Caenorhabditis elegans: one gene and its partner. The protein of the gene in region 1 interacts with the protein of each later gene in a pairwise test. Each region holds a gene or a part of one and is shown on either strand. Other genes may lie near its edges. The genes, in order: hcp-3 and bath-9.

Region 1 (10,058 bases):
AGATTTCACCCCAAGAAATGAAATATGAGCTCTTGATGTTTTGATCTTTCTACTTTCTTAAAAAACCGAGAAAAAATGTTGATTAGCGATTTATCGGAGAAACGAGAGAGCGATGAACACACAAACTGATTCTCAAACGGAATGGAGAAGACAAAACAGAAAAAAATATCAACAAAAAATTGGTTCCAACTTCCTTGAGCTTATAGACGATAGCCAATTGCACTTACCATATGTTTTTTACAATGAGGGCTCCCTGGAACCCATTGACAAGTCAACAAAAAGCAGTTGACCAGTTAGTTTAAGAATTCTTGGTAATTACGAAAAGTTAGTTACTTCTCACATAATAATCATAAAACTAAAAAAGAAACAAAAGTTTGATCAGCTGTAGTGTGCAAGTGTACGGGATGATCTAGTTGGTCAAGTTTGGCATTTATGGGAGAACAGCTGGGCACATAGAGCAACACGCAAAGTATCTAAAGTTAGAAAACATTTGGTAGTAGATTTATGAAATACTTAATAGAACATAGGTTAATAGAGTCTAATCGTGAAAATATTGGAGATTTCAGAGGAAGATTTCTCAATTTTTGGAGGCAATTTCCTGCCTAAATTTTTGTGTATAACATACATATAAAGTTCGTCCATAGTTTTGGCAAAACTTCGGAAAAACTTGGTCAAGATTTAGTTGAAACCGCGTTAAAGGTTGGGAACAATTTTTCATAGTCATACTCACTATAGTTCTTATAAGATCACAAAACATCACCAAAATCGGCAAAGAGATCAGTTCAAAGGCGTAGTAAAAGAGAAAGACACTGAACAAAACGACATCGAGAACTATTCGGACGGTAATGATCTGTTATCATTCAAAATAAAGGTTAAGGGATTTTGTTGCGATCTTCCCCATCAACCGATCCAAGAAACATTTTCTGAAGGGATCCTGAGAATTAGAGACAGATGGATGGATGGGGAAAACACCTGATGGCGCGGCCCCCAGTTTTGTTGGTTGGGGTCACAAACAGCTGTGAGTGGAGTGAGAGAGGGAGAGAGTGATTTAAGAAGATTTGGACGCAACGGAGAAACAGACGGAGAAAAGTTTGCAGTTCGCGTCTCGTTTCGTTTCGAGACCTTGTCTAGCGAAGGGGCAAACGTAAACGCTCGTTTCCGATGATACGGTAGGCGCGAGCCAGACAGTGAGTGAGATAAGAGATAAAATAATTTATCGGGGGGAAGACAAAGAAAGCTAAAAGATAAAAAGAAACATAACAACATATGGAATCATAACAAACTTGAGGCAGAAAATCAGAAATCTAGGAAGAACGATATGATGGTCGAGTACAGTAAGATCATAGAGGTAGACCCCCTCTAAAATTGTGGGGACTTACTGTTTTCTACTCCCGCAATTTTTGGAGGTCAAATGGAAAGAGGGTTCACCTGAATACTCGTAATAATGGGTACTATATTAATATTATTAACTTTTTCATAGATTTTTCCAAACAAGAGGAAACTTGTTGATCAAAAAAATGGAACTCTTACCATATGGAATTCAATATGAAACATGTTGCAAATAAATGTCGTCACAGACGCAAGGGTGTGTGTGATTTGACAGAATAGGTCAGGTGTTCAATCGCGACTAGATTTAGATATTGGGGTACACAACCGAAAAAACGAGACGATCGAAATACGTTCGTCGGCGGGACGAGAGATGGGGGAGCCGGGCGCGAAGAGAGACTGCGAGACAAATAGACATATACACAGGCTGACTGACTGGCTGACTGGGCTGGGGGGGGACGACGCTCCGAATCATTTGGGAGAAAAAAGTTTTTCGCGGCGGCGACGACGACGAAGACAGCGGTGGTGGTGGTGGACTGATCGGTTTGCTGCAGCAACACAGGCAACATGGGGTTGAGATGAGAAAGGGAGAAATTGGAAAAAAAAGAGATGGAAAAGAGAAGAAGGAGCTGACGAGAAACACACCACACTCACACACACACACTCACATAAATGTTAAAGGCCAGCAGCAGCGCCTCAATGGTCTTAGGGGTTGAGGGAGCGGGCGCCTCCTTCTCTCTCTCTATTGCTTACTCTCTCATGTTCACTATCTCTCTATATCTCACAATTTCTCTATACTTTTCCTATTTCTTCGTTTCTCTGTAGCTCTCGTCGCAAAAAAGGAGGCGAAGCGCCGAACATATCTCTGCGTCTCTGACGCACTCGTTCGACGATCATCAGGCTTTCGGAGAGGAGGAAACGAGAGAAACGATGGGCACGTGGATGGGCACCGACGGGGTCGGGATGCCATCGACATGTGTTTTTGGTCGGATGATCTTCGAGGTTGAGTTGGCGCCAGGATGTGGAAGAGGATTGGTGAAGGATGTTCGAATCAAACAGATGGGAATATTGGTCACTAGATCATAGATAATTTGCAAGATGTCCATCAGGAACTACACAGTATTGGCTTTGTGGAAGCACGATGCATACACCGCGACTCGAAAATTTTTGCAATTTGCGCCTTATGAATGGCCGTTTTTGTGATGCACCATGAATTAATTGCCTGGTGTGCTTGAGTTGTTCAAACACTTATAACTCAATAACTATGTATAATAGCTAGCAATATACATTAAACTACCTAAATGTTCCAAATTATCTGGTCTACATATATATTAATGTCAAATTTATAAAACTCTATTTTGAAAATAGTTGAAGCTGCTGACATCCGGCGGGCAAGTTCTTGAATCGAATTTCTAAATAGACCACAACTTTGAAACTGGGTGTTTTCATGGAACAAAGTTTAATATGAAAATGTTTTCCATAAAAATGCCTACATTTTGCAATTTATTGTTGTGTAAAAAATTGATCAGGAAAAAGTATACGAAGCATGAAACATGAATTATGAAAGTCTGAGGAGGACCTCAGCTGCTGTAACTTGATCCGAAATAGAGTTATATAATAATTTTGACATAAATAAAAATGTAGAAAAAGTAATTTGCAACATCTGGTCAGTTGAAAATATTTTGCTAACATATCTTTTGAGTTATTCGAACAGCTCAAGCAAATCACTGTAAAACCGTGAACGAATAGAATATTGACCGACTCCGTAGGTTTTGAAATTCAAGAATTCAAATTCATTCAGCTGCAGTTTTGGTTTTTTTTTCGATTTTTTTCCTTATGATTTCTGTGCCAATTATGTACACCTAAAAATGTTTCCTTTCACTGAGAACATCTCGACGCGCTCATAAAATTCAATTGTTTAGTGACAGACGTCACGAAAGCATTTTACGCATCATTGTGATAGTATTCTTACACAGTTTGTCACCCCATTCGTCGTCGCGAATATTTCTTCATGTGTTCAATCTTTTTTTGGGCAGAATGTAGAAAAGAGAGAGACAATACTGCAAAAGTGATATTGAAGAGGTTTCCGTGTGTGTGTGTGTGTTGGTGTTTTGAAAATTCTAAAGACACAGAATTGGAAAGGAAAATGAATCAACACGGAACACGTACACTTTTTTTTGGAAACAAGTTTAGTATTAACTTTGCAAAACATGTCATGTCTATCGTTCTATCGGGATAATGGTATTTGAAAAGAAATAAAAAATAAAGAAAGAAACCAATCAGCGTTTCCGGACTCCGCCCTTTTTGTCTGATTGGTGGAAAAGTGTGCGGAGCAATTTGCTAATTGGTATTGCAGTTCTTGTTTTGGAGGGAATTCAAATTCAAACAGAGCGATTAGCCGAATTTTTTGGCATTTTAGACTTTTTTGGTATTTTAAAATTATAAAAGTTGGCTTATATGTTTTCAACAAGCTTCGGAAAGCTCATCGAAATAAAATAGGTTTGCTAGTTACGAGCCTTTCCTGAATCACTTGGTGTCAGGATCAAGTGTTTCATTTTTCGATTTTTCGCTGTTTTGATGGGAAAAAACATGGAAAAAAGCGGTAATTGAGACGTAGTTTCCAACCATTGTCACTCGGTTAGCAGGCACACTTTTCCGGCCGAAAAATTTTTTGAATTTTTTTAATATCATATATAAAAAATCCTATTTAAAACTATAGATCAGTTATGAGACGTCTCATGAGACCACGTGATTCGAATTGAAAACTTGTGCTATGTCATTGCAGTAGACTCGGCTTATCGAACACTGGATTACCAGGTCCAAATATAAATTTATTATAATTTTTTTGCAGCGAAGTTTTAAGCGTTCTTCGATTATAAGAGAATATTAGCTCTAATTATTATTTCTAGACCTGCTTGAATAATCGCCTTCCGCGCAAGCGGAAGTTGCTGGCGCATCTCTCGTGTTACTTGCACATTTTAGTTTTTCAAAGCGCGCGGAAGCGCGAAAATTTGGTTTTTCTTTTCTAGAATTTTCTTTTGTCTGTTGATGGTGACTCTCAGATTATTGTCACCTAAAATTAGGAATTATTTTGATTTTTTTTCTTTTTTTTTCCTTTTTGTATCAGACTATTTTTACATTTTTGTGTGTTAAAGCTCCAGAGTGTCGTGAAAAACACCGAATCATTGTCTTCTCCGGCGAATATTTGTTTTTTCACTGCACTTTCCAAAGTTATCTCGATAAAAAATTATACAGCTAATCTCATATTATATATTATCGCTGTATGCGAGACACAGCCCAAGGCAGTCCAAGTTTCGTGAAGTTTTGATGGAATATTTATGAAGAATCGTTTTTTTTTCGAAAAAAACAACACAATTGTTCAATCAGCTGAACTAAATTTTTATAAGACCCAAATATTGATTAATTAGGCGACCCCCGGGGTTGAGTCCGTCATTTATGTTGTTTTGTGTGCACTTTAGCGTGATGTCGTCTGCGTATTTCCCTGCGTCTCTCGCCGCCAATCGTTACTTATTTAAACTGCGTTCGCATTTATTGCTTCTTTAATTCCTTTTTAACCTTCAAACAAATCGTCTTAATTTAGCTTCAGTTTTCTAAATTTTATATTTTATCAGGATAATCTTCGAACAATGGCCGATGACACCCCAATTATTGAGGAAATCGCCGAGCAAAATGAGAGCGTCACAAGGATCATGCAACGTCTCAAACATGACATGCAAAGGTAAGTGATGATTTTTGTTTTCGTGCTACAAATTAATGTCTGCTGTTTCAGAGTCACTTCAGTGCCGGGATTCAACACAAGCGCCGCAGGTGTCAACGATTTGATCGACATTCTGAACCAGTATAAGAAGGAGCTTGAGGATGATGCAGCCAACGACTACACTGAAGCGCACATCCACAAAATTCGATTGGTCACAGGCAAACGGAATCAATATGTCTTGAAGTTGAAGCAAGCCGAAGACGAATATCACGCGCGAAAAGAGCAAGCTCGGAGAAGAGCTTCGTCTATGGATTTCACGGTTAGTTTCAATTTTGTATGATTTCAAACAACATAAAATTTATTTCAGGTCGGCAGAAATTCCACGAATCTTGTCGATTACTCCCACGGCCGTCATCATATGCCCTCATACCGTCGACACGATAGCTCCGACGAAGAAAACTATTCTATGGATGGAACAAATGGCGATGGAAATAGAGCTGGCCCATCGAACCCCGATCGTGGTAATAGAACTGGCCCATCGAGCTCCGATCGCGTGCGGATGAGAGCCGGAAGGAACAGAGTCACCAAAACGAGACGTTATAGACCGGGCCAGAAGGCATTGGAAGAGATCCGCAAGTACCAAAAAACTGAAGACCTTCTGATTCAAAAGGTATACAATTTTTACTTTATTTAAACTATATTAAAACAATTCCAAATTTCAGGCTCCGTTCGCACGCCTCGTCCGCGAAATTATGCAGACTTCCACTCCATTTGGCGCCGACTGCCGTATTCGTTCTGACGCCATCAGTGCTCTTCAAGAAGCGGCGGAAGCATTTTTGGTCGAAATGTTCGAAGGATCGTCTCTTATATCCACCCATGCGAAACGTGTCACACTCATGACAACGGATATTCAGTTATACAGACGTCTCTGCCTTCGACATCTCTGATAACAATATTTGCAATACTCATTTTTCGATCTTCAAGCCATATTTATCTCATCAATTTTAGCGCTGTTTGATCTTTTGTGTACCGTGAACACGTTTACTATTTGTCAAATAATAAAGATTCATTACTTGTAAATGAGAACATTTTATTTAATCACTTGTTCGAACTAGCTTTTCCGAAAATATGAATAGCTCGAAGCTTCTGATAGACTCCTTCGCAGCATCTTTGTACAATATCCGTGTTCGGATTCTGTTTGGCCCAGTGATAAATTGCTCTGAAATTGACCACGTAAATAAGCCTTTTCTACTTTCAAGAATCCAACCTAACAATATTAACAGCATGCGAGAGATTTCCGAGTTGTGCTTCTGCGAGGGCGGTATACAGGTAGCATCGTGCAAGAATAACTGGATCTCCATATTTTTTCGCTAAGTTGATTTGATGAGCAGTAATTTTTGCAGCGACTTTCGCCTGAAAAGCTAGCGTTAAACTAAAGTGTAAACTGATAACTTACATAATTTGCATCGAAATCTCCCATAGCTGAATAAGCGCCACCTAGAGTAGACAAGTTCCACATGAGCTTTTCGAGATCAAGCATGTATCGGAAATGGTGTTTCAAACGTCTTTCCCAAGCATAATCGAGATTTTGTGCCGGATTTTTCACTTGGATGTTGACAAGAAGTTTCTGAAGCTTAAATATAATAACTTCTGGCAATAGAAGATAAATTAGTTACCTTATCGACGGGAATATTATAGAAGGCACGTATTTGAGCAAACGAATATTCTTCACGACACTGGAGAATATTCAAAAATCCGTACAAATCGTCCAAATTCGTGAATTCGAATACTAGTGATTGGGTACCTGCAATTATTTTATATTAATTAATTATTTGCTTATCTGACAGCTTACTGGTCGATGGAATTTCCGTAGAATGTTTTATTGAATTCATTTGTACACTGAAAATGAGTATAGAAATGGAGAGAAAATGGTCTTTTAGAGAAAAATAAAATAATGCAAACGCGCCCTGTTGTACACGCCGCGAAATTGGAATTTAAACCAGTTTACCGCACTACATATGTGCCTATTTCTTGAGGATTTCATCTTTTTTTAGCTTGAATTTCAATTGAACCAAATATTTATAGTTTTTTTTCTTTTCAGAAATGTCTTATAACTCCATCAGACTTCCACAAGATTTGCCAATATACTACAAAAACTTCTTCCCAGTCAAACCATTCACAAAATGGCTCCGCTACGGACAAAGTGAGTTTCGAATTTCGATTTTCTTAACGAAATTTGAAATTTGCAGATAACGGAGACTATTTCAACCGCCGAGAATTCGCATTCATTCTGGCAGATGACGTTCATATCAGATATCGTAGTTACAATGACGAACACGCATTTTTCAAAGCACTTTCAAGTACTAACCCGGAAAAACTTGATATTGGAGCTGTCTACAATCACGAGCCAATTAATAACAAGAGACATACAGATTATCAAGCTGTGGAACGAGAATTGGTTTTTGATATCGATTTGACCGACTACGATCCAGTTCGTAATTGTTGCAAGTAAGAGTTTACGAAAATCCCGTTTCCGCGTATCTCTATTTTTATATTGATATATTTAGCAAAGATAGTTATTTGAGGGCATTATTAAGATGATCTGTAACCCACTTTTCGATTTTCTAATTTTTCAGAGATGCCACCGTCTGCCCAAAATGCTGGAAATTCATGGTTCTCGCTGTTAAAATCTTGGATTTCCAACTGGAAGATATGTTCGATTTCAAAGCACGAATGTGGGTCTTCTCTGGTAGACGTGGAGTACATTGTTGGGTCGGTGACAAAAAAGCGAGGATGTTGAACAATTATCAAAGATCTGCAATCGCGACCAGACTCAATTTGTTCAAGGTTCGAGAACTTCTTTGTCCAAATTAGAATAAAAAATTCATTTTACAGAAAAATGGCCAATGTGAGGTGACTGAAGGTCGGGCCAAAATGACGAAAGTTCCGCCGATTGTGCGTGACGCGTTTAACGTTGCATTGAAAGATGGAGTTTTCGAGAAGATGATCTATGACCAGGGATGGCTGGATAAGGAAGATTTTATCACAGAGTACAAGTTTATGTCAGAAGTAGGCAGAGATGACTTGCGTAGCCTTTCCGAGACTTACAAAACTCCACAAGAACGCTGGAACATGATTCGTGGGCTTTTTGATGACGACTATCGCAAATCGCTTTCTCCGAAGGACGGTCTTCTCGATTTTGTAAGTGGAAGCTTTGAGATAACAGTCGGAAAATAGATAAATCAATTTTCAGAAAATGCAAGGTCGCGACCGAAATTATCTTCTCTACTTTGTTCTTCAACGATGCTATCCACGTCTTGATGTTAATGTATCTACAGGTGAAATGTTTTTTACATATTTAAAAATAGTTTCAAAATCAAAAAGAAACTGTATAATTTCAAAAAATTTCGACATGCATTCTTGAAAGTGCACAGATTTATTCAGATGGGCCTCGGCGCGAAAAAAAAATACAACCATTACTTTTTGCGCACCGAGACCCATCTGAATAAATCCGTGCTCCTTTAAGAAGGCATGTCAAAATCTTGGGAAATTACGATAAATACTGAAAACTTCCTTTATTTCGAAAATAGTTTTTTTCTTAGAATTTCTCACCCTACAGATTTCAAAAAATTGAAACTTTCTGAACAAAAAATAATTATTTTCCTAATTTTTCGATGAAACTGCGTTGATTTCGTACTAAACGGTCACATTTTACAGGAACAAATCACTTGCTCAAATCCCCATTCTGCATTCATCCAAAGACCGGAAACGTTGCAGTTCCTCTGAATGTCGGTAAAATTGAAGAGTTCGATGTAAGCAAATGTCCTCGAATTGAGTAAGTAAAAAGTCGTCTCTCTAATAGTATTATCCAAAAACTTTCAGTCATGTCGTGGAAGAGTTGAGCAGTCTTTTGGCTGAACGAGGAAACGACGAGAACGAGGATTCGAAGAATCGAAAATTCCTGGCGTACAAGCATGGAGCTCTCGCACCTTACGTTGAAAACTTTGAAAAGTTTGTATCGGCTTGCATTTCATAAATTACTTTCATTTTTCTTATACTGTAACATGATTTCTACTTTAACAATAAATTTTTTTCTCGAGACCTTTTATAGCATGTGGCGTCCGCGAGTTTCCATGGCAACGGCAAGGAGAAAGACGTAGGCAGTTATTGAGGGTGCATAGCTTATTAAAAATGGAAGCGAGTAATCAAGATGAAATTATTGGAACTGACGTTATTCCAAATGAACAGGACAATCCAGAAGTGAGTTAATGAAATAATTTGAAACATTTTTTCGTTTATAATTCTGTTCATCAGGAAGTAGTACCTGAACCAACATCCCTTGATGTTCCACCACCTCCACCAGAACGTGCTCCGTCTGCTCCAAAACGAGTGGAAATTCTCGATTGTAACTCATTAAATGGTCTAATGTATCATTATTTTGCCCAAGGCGACTATATTGAGTGCAAATCAATAATTGGAGAAATTCAAAGCAAATATCTTGAAAGAAATGAAGCTGCTTTTCATGTTCGTGGACTAATTGCAAGAAATGAAGGAGAACTTGAAGAAGCGATGGAATGCTTTCATAAAGCTTATGAGCTTTCTGGCAAAAATAAAAGGTGAATATGGCCGTATATGGTAAATTAGTGAAAAAAGGAAACTTTGCCTTAAAGGTGCGCTTCATTTAACGATTTTTGCGCCAAAAATACGGTACCCGGTCTCGACACGACAAGTTTTTGTTTATTGTTTCCAAAAAAGTGTGCGCCTTTAAAGAGTACTGTAGCTTCGAACTTTCGTTGCCGCGTTCGATATATCGATTATAATTCGCATCGATTTTTATAGTTTTCCGTTGAAAACAAATTTATTTGTTGGAAAACTAAAAACTATTAAAAATCGATGAAATTCTTTTCAGGGTTTCATGTCACCGATTTACTGTGATTTATTGTTAACAATAATGTTGAAAAACTATTGTAATTTCGTAAGAATTCGATTAAAGGCACACGCTGTTTTTTGAGTG
Region 2 (10,505 bases), on another chromosome or scaffold:
GGGAGACAATGAAAAAGGACTATCTAGTCGATGATAGTTTATTTGTCAAAGCAACTGTCAAGATTACAAAAATGATTGGAATACCTAGAAAGAAGCTGAAGAGCTTTGATGAGTCAGTTGAAGAGTTTTCCGATGTGATTCTTGCAGTTGAAGATGAAAAGTTTTATGTTCTCAAGAAGGTTGCTTTTTTATTTTATTTTTAGTTTGAATTTAAATGTATAATGTACATATTTTCCAGTTCCTAGCTTCTCACTCTTCATACTTCAAATCTCTTTTCTTTGGAAGCTTCGCGGAAGCTGAAAAATCAGAAATTACACTTTCCGAGATCAACTCTGCAGGTTTTCAGTGCCTTCTGGAGGTTCTATACGGAGAATCTGCTATTGATGGTGAACACTTTAAAGCTAGAATCTAGATCTAATTAAGTTTTTCAGACGAGAACGTCGACGGAATCCTGCATTTGGCTCACATGAACGAAATGGCTTTTGTGATTCGGAAATGCGAAGAGTGTTTGCTCGACAAATCGGACAGACCCAGTAGGTGTATATTCAAGATTGCGAAGCAGTATCAATTGGAATTTAAAGGTAAGGATCATAACAGATCTTGGGAAATTTAATTAATTTGTTTAGAAATCATGTCTATCGAGAATCAAAACAATCGATGAGATCAGAGCGGCGATGATATGCAATGCAGCTGAAATGGATCCAACTGTGCTGGCGGCTCTTCTCGAAAAGGCTGTGGATCTTCAGTGATCCTTCATGATATCAAACTATTCATTTTCTTGTTTGCTTTTGAATAAAATAATACGTTCCCCATAAGAACTTGTTCAAGCTGTAATGAGAAACACACCTGAGTTTCTCACGCTTATACTTACTTTACTTGTGTATTGCATGCCCTCATTTAAAAATGTTTTTTTTAAGTTGCGAATCATAACAGCTTGGAGTTTTTAGAGACATTTTTTATGAGACGGAAACGCTTAAAACCGTGCTGTTTTTAAATTTTTCCCCGTTTTTTCTAGATATTTGAATTTTTGAAGTTTCCAAAAAAAATGTGCAAAACCACAATTTTGCACATTTTTATTAACCGAAAATTGTCGGCAATTGCCGTTTCATTGGCGAATTCGGCAAATCGGCAATTTACCGGTTTGCCTATTTTTCAAAAGTTTCCAACTTCGGAAATTTGACAATTTGCCCATTTACCGAACAAATCGTTTGCCGCCCACCCCTGCCCTACATTACGTTAACGTTCCTTTTCCTTTTTCTTTTCATTATTAAAAAAAACCACAGAGAATAAACTTACAAATCAATGGTGCAGATGCTATCTCATAGGAAGAAGAACGGTCAACTAAAAAAATTGAATGCAAACAACGAAGATTGATTGAAGGTGGAGCAGACTTGTTTTGAAGTTTTCTTTTTAAGTGGTAAACTTGCCTGAAACGATAATTTGAAGAGTGTTCGAAAGCTGGAACACACATCCCGAAGAAATGATTATTAGCTATCTTGAACATCCCAGACATATCACGGACTTTCAATCAGTTTTTTAAATTGAAGCATGTATGTTCGCACTCCACTCAGAAATTAACCGTATATTTTCAAGCTTCTTTCCAAATCCCTGGCAGAAATAACAAAAATCAAAATTTGTGCATGATGATTTATTGAAGGAAAAAAGATGGTTGATGGCAATACCGCATTAAAAACCTCCACATAAAAAAACCAATCAATTAGATTGGTCTTTACAAAAAAGGGTGCACAAGTTGTATGAGAGAATAAATGAATGAATAAAGATGAAGTATAATAAGATATTATGGTTTTGGATATTAGGATATTTTGTGGCTAATGAGAATGTGTAGGGTTAACAAAAATCAATATTAGGTTATTAGGAGAGAACAATTTGAGAGTAATGCAAATGTTTAGGGATAATATTAGGATTAGGATTTGAGGATTAAGAATAAATATTAGGCTATTAGGACAATAAGAGTGTGAGGGTTATGAGAAAGGGTGAAGAAAATCAATATTAAGTTATTTGGTTATCATGAATATAAGGATTTTTTTGAAATAATTTTTAAATTTTAATTTTTTTTTTGAATTTTTTTTACTTTTTCAGATTTTTTTTGTGTTTTTGGGGTTATTAATGAGATTACTTATTGTTGGAAATAGTTGTTATAGTCAGCTGTTTTCCCGCGACGGCAACTTTTCCTATTCTTTTGAAGTTGCTCCAAATTGTATGTTGTGGCCAGTCTTCATTCGGGCGAAAAATTATTTTAAAAATCAGCTTGTGACATTTGACGCCTTTGAAAAGCTGCTTTGTCCTCAAAGCATGATAGGTTCCGGGTTGAAAAAAATGTTTTCAGTCGGCTCTTTTCACTATTTCATCCAAATGACTGAGAAACTTTTTTCGGCTGGGCTCGAAGTGGCTTCAGTATCTGTAATTTTAAAATTTCCATAAATTCTCAAAAACTCTCAAACTCACTTCATCATACTGGAAAAATTGCAAGAATTAGTGAAAATTTAGAAAATAAATCGAAAATCAATAAAAAAGAAGAGGGGGACACCCATTCAGTAGGGCGTCTAGTAGGAAGAATGAAGTGAAGAGAAAAAGGGAACGACTGAGAGATCGAGAGGCAGTGGAGGGTCGAGACATTGTGTAGGAAGACGGAAGTGAGTCGAGACACCACTTCAAAAGAGAAATCTGCATCTAGAATTGTATAAAATTGTCTAAAACTTTTTGTTGCAAAATGCTCGAAATGGACTTTTAAAAATTAATATTTATTTGAAACCTTTTTTGATAGTTCTGAAAAATACTTTAGCTGAAAGTCGGGTAAGGTTGTTTTAAAAATTTGGAATTAAAGGTGGTGTAGTCGAATTTTTTTACTGCCTTATTAGACTCAAAATTGTCTGAAAACACCGAATTTTATAATGAAAATTCTTGAAAACTTCTTTAAAAAAAGTTATAACGGCTCAAAAAATAGCCTAAAATTAGTTAAAATCGGAAATTTGACCAACTTATCAATGTCGCAGCGGCTGGAAACAATTTTTTTTGAAATCACCGTCAAATTTTAAGTATACAAGTTGATTACCGTGCGTTTTAAACTTGATTAAGGTATTTAAAAGTCGATGGACGGCGAGATTTTTAATTTTTTAAACCAAAACTCGCCGTCCATCGACTTTTAAATACCTAAATGAAGTTTAAAACGCGAGATAATCAACTTGTATACTTAAAATTTTACGGTGATTTCAAAAAAAATTGTTTCCAGCCGCTCCGACACTGACAAGTTGGTCAAATTTCCGATTTTAACTAATTTTATGTCATTTTTTGAGCCGTCATAACTTTTTTCTGAAAAGATTTCAAGAAGTTTCATTATGAAATTCGGTGTTTTCAGACAATTTTGAGTCTAATGAGGTAATAAAAAAATTCGACTACACCATCTTTAAGTGTTCAGGGATTTTCAGGAGGTGCTATAAAAATTGGACTGCCTGTGAAAGACTTTTAGGGACCACTCATATATTTGTCGTTAGGGGTCAAGACCACCCAGTCTCCCCCCGTCTCTCATTGCCCCTTCTCTCATTTTGTCTTCACGGTGGCCATTTGTCTACTCTCTTTATTGATTCTTACATTGTAAAAGAATGGCAAAGGAATTCCAACTCACCCATATTTTTAAGAAAGTATCCGAATTTAAAGATGGCGAATGTAGATGTGGACCCCTAGAAGAACACTTCAATGTTGAATGGTTAGTTTTCACCAATTATAAGATACATTTAATAAATTTCAAATGTCGTATTCAGGTTACTTTATATAAATCGGAAAGATGATGAATTGGCAGTATTTCTGGGTTGCAATAGTTTACAAGGAACTGAAGAAACAACACTGTCAATTTATGTGGAATTAAAGTTTACACTCAAGAATTCAATTGGCACACGAGTAACGAAAATCGCTAAATGTCTGTTATCAAATAAGAGTACTGAAAGTGATTTCGGACTTAATAAGTTTATTGGTTGGGAGACATTGTTGAAGGACTACCTGATTGATGACAGTATCATTATCGAAGCAAAAATCAAGATCACTAAGATGACTGGATTTCCGAGAAAAGAGCTCAGAAGCTTTGATGAATCAAGTGAGGAGTATTCCGATATGATTATTGCCGTTGGGGATAGAAAGTTCTATGTTCTCAAACAGGTAGCTCTAGTCTCTGAATATTCCAACTATTTGAGTACTTTTCAGCTCCTCGCTTCAAACTCTACACACTTTCAATCTCTTATTCCCCTGGACTTTGAAGAAATGGACTGTGAAGGAAAATCGGAGATCACCCTGCCAGATATCAACCCCTCCGATTTTCAGTGTCTCCTGGAGGTTCTGTACGGAGAGCCTGCTATGGATGGTAAGAAAACTATAGCAATTTAAACAATTTAATACAATTTAATCTGAAAAATATTTTAAACATTGGGGGGGGGGGGGGGGGGAAATTACGAAGCTATCAAGTTTATTTGTTTAAATAAATATTAGTATTTGAATTTAATTTTGCATTGACAACTAGCTTAGGCTCAGGCTTAGTCTGAGACCAAGGCTTAGGCTGGACGGGGACAATTCCATCTCAGTAAGATTCAAAACACTTCCAAAATATTTCCAAACATTTTCAAAATTGTGTCAACTATAACTACAATGCTCCTACAGTAATCCTAGCCCACTTCATTCTCAAAATCTATAAACTGATTTTTTTTCTGAAACTACAGTAACCATATAGTAGATAACACTATTGTTAATATTTCAGACGAGAACGTTGAAGGGATTCTTCATTCGGCTCACATGTACAAAATGACAAAAGTAATTCGGAACTGTGAAGAGTTTCTTTCCAACAAATCTGAAAAACCCATGAGGGATAAGTTCAAAATTGCAAAGCAATACCAACTGGAGAGTTTGAAGGTTAGAATTCATATATTTTTTAAAAACTATTTTAATACATTTTTTTTTTCAGAAATCATGTCTCTCAAAAATCCAAACAATCCAAGACATCAAGTCAGCAATGGCAGGGGATCTATCTGACATGGATGCAACTGTAGTGGCGGCTCTTCTCGAAAAATCGGTGACTATTGAACCGCCTTCGAAAAATGGACGACCGTATTAATTTGAAATTGTTTTTTTTGTGGTTATACTGTATTTTTCACTTATTCAATAAATTCCAAAATATTGGTGAAATTGTAAAAAACTCTACAGATAAAAGTGAGCTATAGAAATTGGACGGACTGTAGTAGAAAACTGTATTTCCAATCAAGACCCTAATGATGTAAGACGGCACCTTTCGGGACCATTCACTGCCTACATATTTGTCGTTGACAGGGGTCAAGACCACCCAGTCTCCCCCGTCTCTCACCACCCCTTTCTCTCATTTTGTCTTCACGGTGGTCAGCTGGATGGCTGTTCACTCTTTTGCTTCTATTGATTTTTTGAAAAAAGTAACTTTATTATTGGTGTATTAGGTTTTGAAAAATGGATAGCGGGTTGTAATAATCAGTTGTGAAAAATAATAAATTGCGAGAACTGCTACTTTTTTTATAATTAATATTTCAATTTCAGTAGCAAGACTTCGCCCAGAATGGTAAAGGAAATAGGACTCACTCATATATTCAAGAATGTATCAGAATTGGAAAAAGGCAAATATTTTCATAGTCCCGCAGAAGAACACTTCAATGTTCGATGGTAAGTCTTTTCTAAGTTAATATAAATATACAATTTTTTGTTCAGGAATATCAAAATTGCTCGGAAAAATGAAAACATCGGAGTTTATCTGTGTTGCCAGAGATTGAAAGACATCGGAGAAGGCGCATGGTCCGTGGATACCGAATATAGACTAACAGTCAAGAATTCAATTGGTAAACGTCTTAGGAACAAGGCTAGGACTAAATTTGTGCCAAATTCGAATGAATGGGGATGGGAGTTCAGTTGGGAGACATTGATCAAGGATTATCTCATTGATGATAGTATCATTGTTGAAGCAGAGGTCAAGATCAGAAAGATGACTGGGATTCCTAGGAAGCTGCTCAGTAGCTTTGAGCAGTCAGATGACGTCTTTTCTGATGTGGTTCTAGCGGTTTACGACAAGAAGTTCTTTGTTCTCAAAAAGGTATGTTTCAGGGATGGGCGGCAATTGCCTTCCGGCAAATCGGCAAATTGCCGGTTAGACAGTTTGCCGGGAATTTTCATTTCCGGCAAATTGTCGATTTTCCGTTTTCCAAAACTGAATTTGCCGGGAGTTTTTAGAGAGATTTTTTATAAGACGGAAACGCTTAAAACTGTGCTTTTATGAAATTTTCCCCCTTATTTTCTAGTTATTTTCATAGAACTTGCTTACTTTTCAAAATAGATGTAGGAATATTCATTGGATGCGTAGGACTTTTGCCGATTAAAATTGAAACTTCGAAATTTCCAAAAAGTGTTATATTAGAGATCAGCCCTAACTTGGCTTTTCGGCTACATCTGGCCGAATTAACCACTGTTCTAAAACGCCGAAATCTCTGAAATCCGGCACAACAAGTTATGCGTCATGACACACTTTTAGTGCCGAACTGTTCAAAATTAGCCAAAAAATTCATTTAATGTGTGTTTCAGTTCCTCGCCACTCACTCATCATACTTCAAAACTCTATTTCTCGGAAAATTCGATGAACCAGAAAAAGCTGAAATCGCGCTCACCGACATCAATGCTGCCGATTTTCAGTGTCTTCTAGAGGTTCTGTACGGAGAACCTGCTATTGAGGGTAAAGAAAAAGGTTTTTATTCTAGAAAAAAAGTTAATTTTAGACGAGAACGTTGAGGGAATTCTACACTTGGCTCACATGTACAAGATGGCCGTGGTGATTGAGAAATGTGTGGAGTTTCTATCCGATAAATCTGAGAAACTCGGGAGAGATAAGTTCAGAATTGCAAAGCAATATCAACTGGATAATTTGAAGGTTAGAATCAAGATTTTAAAATTCTTTTAAATTCCAATAAAACAATTTTTTCAGAAATCGTGCCTATCAAAAATCAATACAATCACTGAGATCAAATCAGCAATGGCAGGGGATCTATCTGACATGGATCCAACTGTAGTGGCGGCTCTTCTCGAAAAATCAGTGGCTCTTCATTAACTAGTAATTTTACGAAGCACATAAGTTATGTAAATTTGTATGCTTTACTTATTGTATCATAAAAAAGTTTGTTTCATTTTCAAGGCTTGCCATGCTACTTCTTCTTCTGAGATGACTTTGAACCAATTTTTGAGCGACTTTTTGAAACTTTTGAGCAAAAGTATAATAATTTCCAAAAAGTACAAATATTTCTCTATATTTCTACATAAATTTTCAAAACAAAACTTCGACTCAACAAGGAGAAATAGGGGATGTTTTAAATATGTCGAAAAAATGTGTCACACATATCTGCTGGCTACCATATTCCGAAGATGCCAAATGATTTCAAAACAAAAATTAAAAAACCATTATTGTAAGACGGTTTTTACATAATTAATCATTCTAAAACACATTGATATCTGTAGTTTCAGAAAAATTACATGCAATTTTCTAAAATTATTGATTTTTGCTTATAAGATCCTCCAAATTCAACATTTTCGCTTCAAATTTCGACTAAGCATTGTACATTTTGGTCCTCTATTTAGTTTTGAAAGAATTTTTGAAAAATGTTGGCTCATCTCCAAAATCGTCCTGACTGTAAGAGACATGCCTTTTGCGATTCGGAAATGTGAGGAATTTCTGGTTGAGAAATATGAAAGGCCCAAGCGAGATATACTCAATATTGCAAAGCAATATCAACTTGAGAACTTGAAGGTAAGGATCACAACGGATCGTGTAAATCTAAATTGAATATTTTTCAGAAACTATGTCTTGCAAAAATCAATACGATTGATGAAATCAAGGCGGCAATGGCAGGTAATCTATCTGACATGGAGCCAACAGTGCTGGCGGCTCTTCTCGAAAAATCGGTGGCTCTAAAATAACCATTCAAATTTAATTTCTGAATAAAATAATTGTTTTTTACCACTTTCAAGTACATATATTCCATATAATTGTTACAATCTTTCTCCAAATTTCCAAAAAAAAAATCACAGGTTAATCACTGAGTTTTGGCATTTTTGGTTTTTCTTGACTTTTCTTTAGTACTTGATGTGAAACATCGTTTGAAAATTTTAAGGCTAAATTTGAAGTTCCTGCAAATTTCCTTCGGGCTGTCAAGTTTTCTCTGCGGAAAAATGACTGTAAATTTGAAAAAATATATTTCAAAAATTCGAATATCAGGGAAAATTCAGGTTATCGAATTTCAATTTTTTGCCATGTGTTTGACTTGCCTATTGTATGCCTACATACCTAATGTATGCCTACGTGCCTACTGCATGCTGGCATGCCTACTACATGCCTACTGCATACCTACATGAACACCGCATGACTACTTGGCTACGTGCCTACTTAAGTTTCTACTGCATTTCTCCCTTTTTTTTTGGAAATCGGGAAATTCTATGTATTTCTGAAACGCATAATTTTGTGGCCAGAGGTTCTTCCTTCACTCTTGGGAAGACTTATTGACGCTGCGTCATCTGCAACTACGGATCGATAACATTCGACTACCAGCTGACTACCAGCTCAGCCATTTCTCAGCTCATTCTCTCTCCTCCAAGACTACTCGTTTGCCTTTTATTGATTTTTTAAGAAACTCCTTTACTGCTTTTTTATCCAATTTGTTTGAAATATTTCTAACTCTATAATTTCAGCAGGACAATGAATTCCGCTAAAAAGGAATTTGAGATTTCACACATTTTCACAGATGTATCAAAATTGGAAAACGGTAATTTTCTATTAAGCCCTGAAGAAGATCACTTCAATGTTCCATGGTAAATAGGTTTTATTTTACTAAAATGAATATAAAATGAACATTCAGGGACTTGCAACTTTATCGAGAAGATGATCATTTAGATGTGTACCTCCGTTGTACGAAATTGACGGAAAATGATGAAATTTGTGCAATTGATACGGAATTCGAATTAACTCTTAAAACTTCAAATGGGAAACAAATGAGTCGTAGGGTCAAAGTTGACTTTACACTTGAAAACATCATGATACCCGCATGGAGATGGTCTAAGGTTGTTAGTTGGGAGACATTGTTGAAGGAATACCTAATTGATGATAGTATCATTGTGGAAGCAGCCGTCATGATCAAAGCGATGACTGGGATCCCTAGGATGAAGCTTAGAAGCTTCGAGAAGTCGGCTCAGGAGTATTCTGATGCGATTATAGCAATTGGAGATGAAAAGTTCTACGTTCTCAAGAAGGTATTTGCATTTTTTGCTTTTGAATTTCAATTTTAAATGCTTTTCAGTTTCTCGCTGCTCACTCAACTTACTTCAAGGATCTCCTCTTCGGAGACTTCGACTTCGAACAAGCTGAAAATTCAGAAATCACACTCTCCGATATCAATTCTACCGATTTTCAGTGTCTCCTGGAGGTTCTATACGGAGAACCTGCTATTGATGGTAAAACTGAAAACATGTGAAAGTTCAAATTTTCTATTTTTTCTAGAAGAGAACATTGACGGAATCCTCAAATTGGCTCAGAAGTACAATATGCCCCTGCGATTCGGAGATGTGAAGAGTTCCTAATCAAAATTTCTGAAAGATCAATCAGGGAAAAGTTAAAGATTGCAAAGCAATACCAACTGGATAACTTGAAGGTAAGGATCATAGCTGAGCCTCCAATCCTAATCAGTCTGTTTAGAAATCATGTCTGTCGAAAATCAATATAATGGATGAGATCAAAGCGGCAATGGCATGCAATGTTGCTGAAATGGATCCAACTGTGCTGGCGCCTCTTCTCCAGAAATCGGTGGCTCTTAAATAATTTTTCTAAATTTCTTTTTGAATCAAAAGCACAGACACTGGGATTATGTTAATAAAATTTTCATTGTTAATGCTTGCATAATTATTTCCCGGATTTGCCCAGAAAATTTCGAACCGAACGGGGCAAATCTCACTCTGTTATGAGCCTTTGTTGAGTTGTTGAAGTTAAGGAACGCTGAGCGTTAACGCCGGAGCAAACACATAGGGTGACCAGGAAGAGTGTCGGCTGCTAGTACAATTTTTCTATGTATTATCTTTTTCTAGGCTAGTCTAGTTGAGTTTTGACCTACCAGGTTTTTTTGACCTACCCGGCGCCGAATTTTGTTTTCTTGTGTTTCCTTGGACTCTCACTGGATTTTTGTTCTTTCCCCTCATTTTTCGTCAAGCTTTCCTAGTTTTTTCTCGATTTCATCATCAAATTATTGATTTTTAGATGTCCGACGACCCGAATACCACTCAGGAACGGGCGATGGAAGGCCCATCGGAAAATCAAGCTGCTCGGCAACTAGAGGGCAACCAAGAAGAGGTAACATTTAACAATTTTTCTATTTCATAAATTCCCATTTTTCAGGCACAACGCCAACCAAAAGAAGAGCAAGCTGATCGAGAAGAAGCCAAGGGAGAAGAAGAAGCTC

What was found.
Region 2: the proteins of hcp-3 (region 1) and bath-9 interact in a two-hybrid assay, tested with the Caenorhabditis elegans proteins (one large-scale study listed by BioGRID).

Annotation. Positions count from the first base shown.
Region 1 is NC_003281.10:9,611,369-9,621,426, reverse strand, and holds hcp-3 (Histone H3-like centromeric protein hcp-3), read left to right. Parts: upstream 1-4,956; 5' UTR 4,957-4,973; coding exon 4,974-5,065; intron 5,066-5,116; coding exon 5,117-5,363; intron 5,364-5,411; coding exon 5,412-5,714; intron 5,715-5,766; coding exon 5,767-5,991; 3' UTR 5,992-6,121; downstream 6,122-10,058. Other genes in the region: F58A4.6 (DUF4807 domain-containing protein), read right to left, coding at 6,143-6,263, 6,312-6,457, 6,501-6,671, 6,721-6,848, 6,897-6,936; pri-1 (DNA primase small subunit), read left to right, coding at 7,148-7,247, 7,294-7,552, 7,681-7,891, 7,940-8,245, 8,298-8,382, 8,762-8,879, 8,927-9,080; BBSome complex member bbs-4, read left to right, coding at 9,236-9,304, 9,359-9,660. UniProt on the Caenorhabditis elegans protein: Histone H3-like variant which exclusively replaces conventional H3 in the nucleosome core of centromeric chromatin at the inner plate of the kinetochore.
Region 2 is NC_003280.10:3,371,533-3,382,037, forward strand, and holds bath-9 (BTB domain-containing protein), read left to right. Parts: upstream 1-5,556; 5' UTR 5,557-5,584; coding exon 5,585-5,688; intron 5,689-5,733; coding exon 5,734-6,112; intron 6,113-6,597; coding exon 6,598-6,745; intron 6,746-6,788; coding exon 6,789-6,940; intron 6,941-6,994; coding exon 6,995-7,117; 3' UTR 7,118-7,302; downstream 7,303-10,505. Other genes in the region: bath-10 (BTB and MATH domain containing), read left to right, coding at 3,621-3,724, 3,780-4,170, 4,216-4,372, 4,763-4,914, 4,967-5,116; Y49F6C.2 (BTB domain-containing protein), read left to right, coding at 7,429-7,469, 7,528-7,810, 7,858-7,980; T06D4.1 (Type VI secretion system protein TssA), read left to right, coding at 10,304-10,396, 10,442-10,505.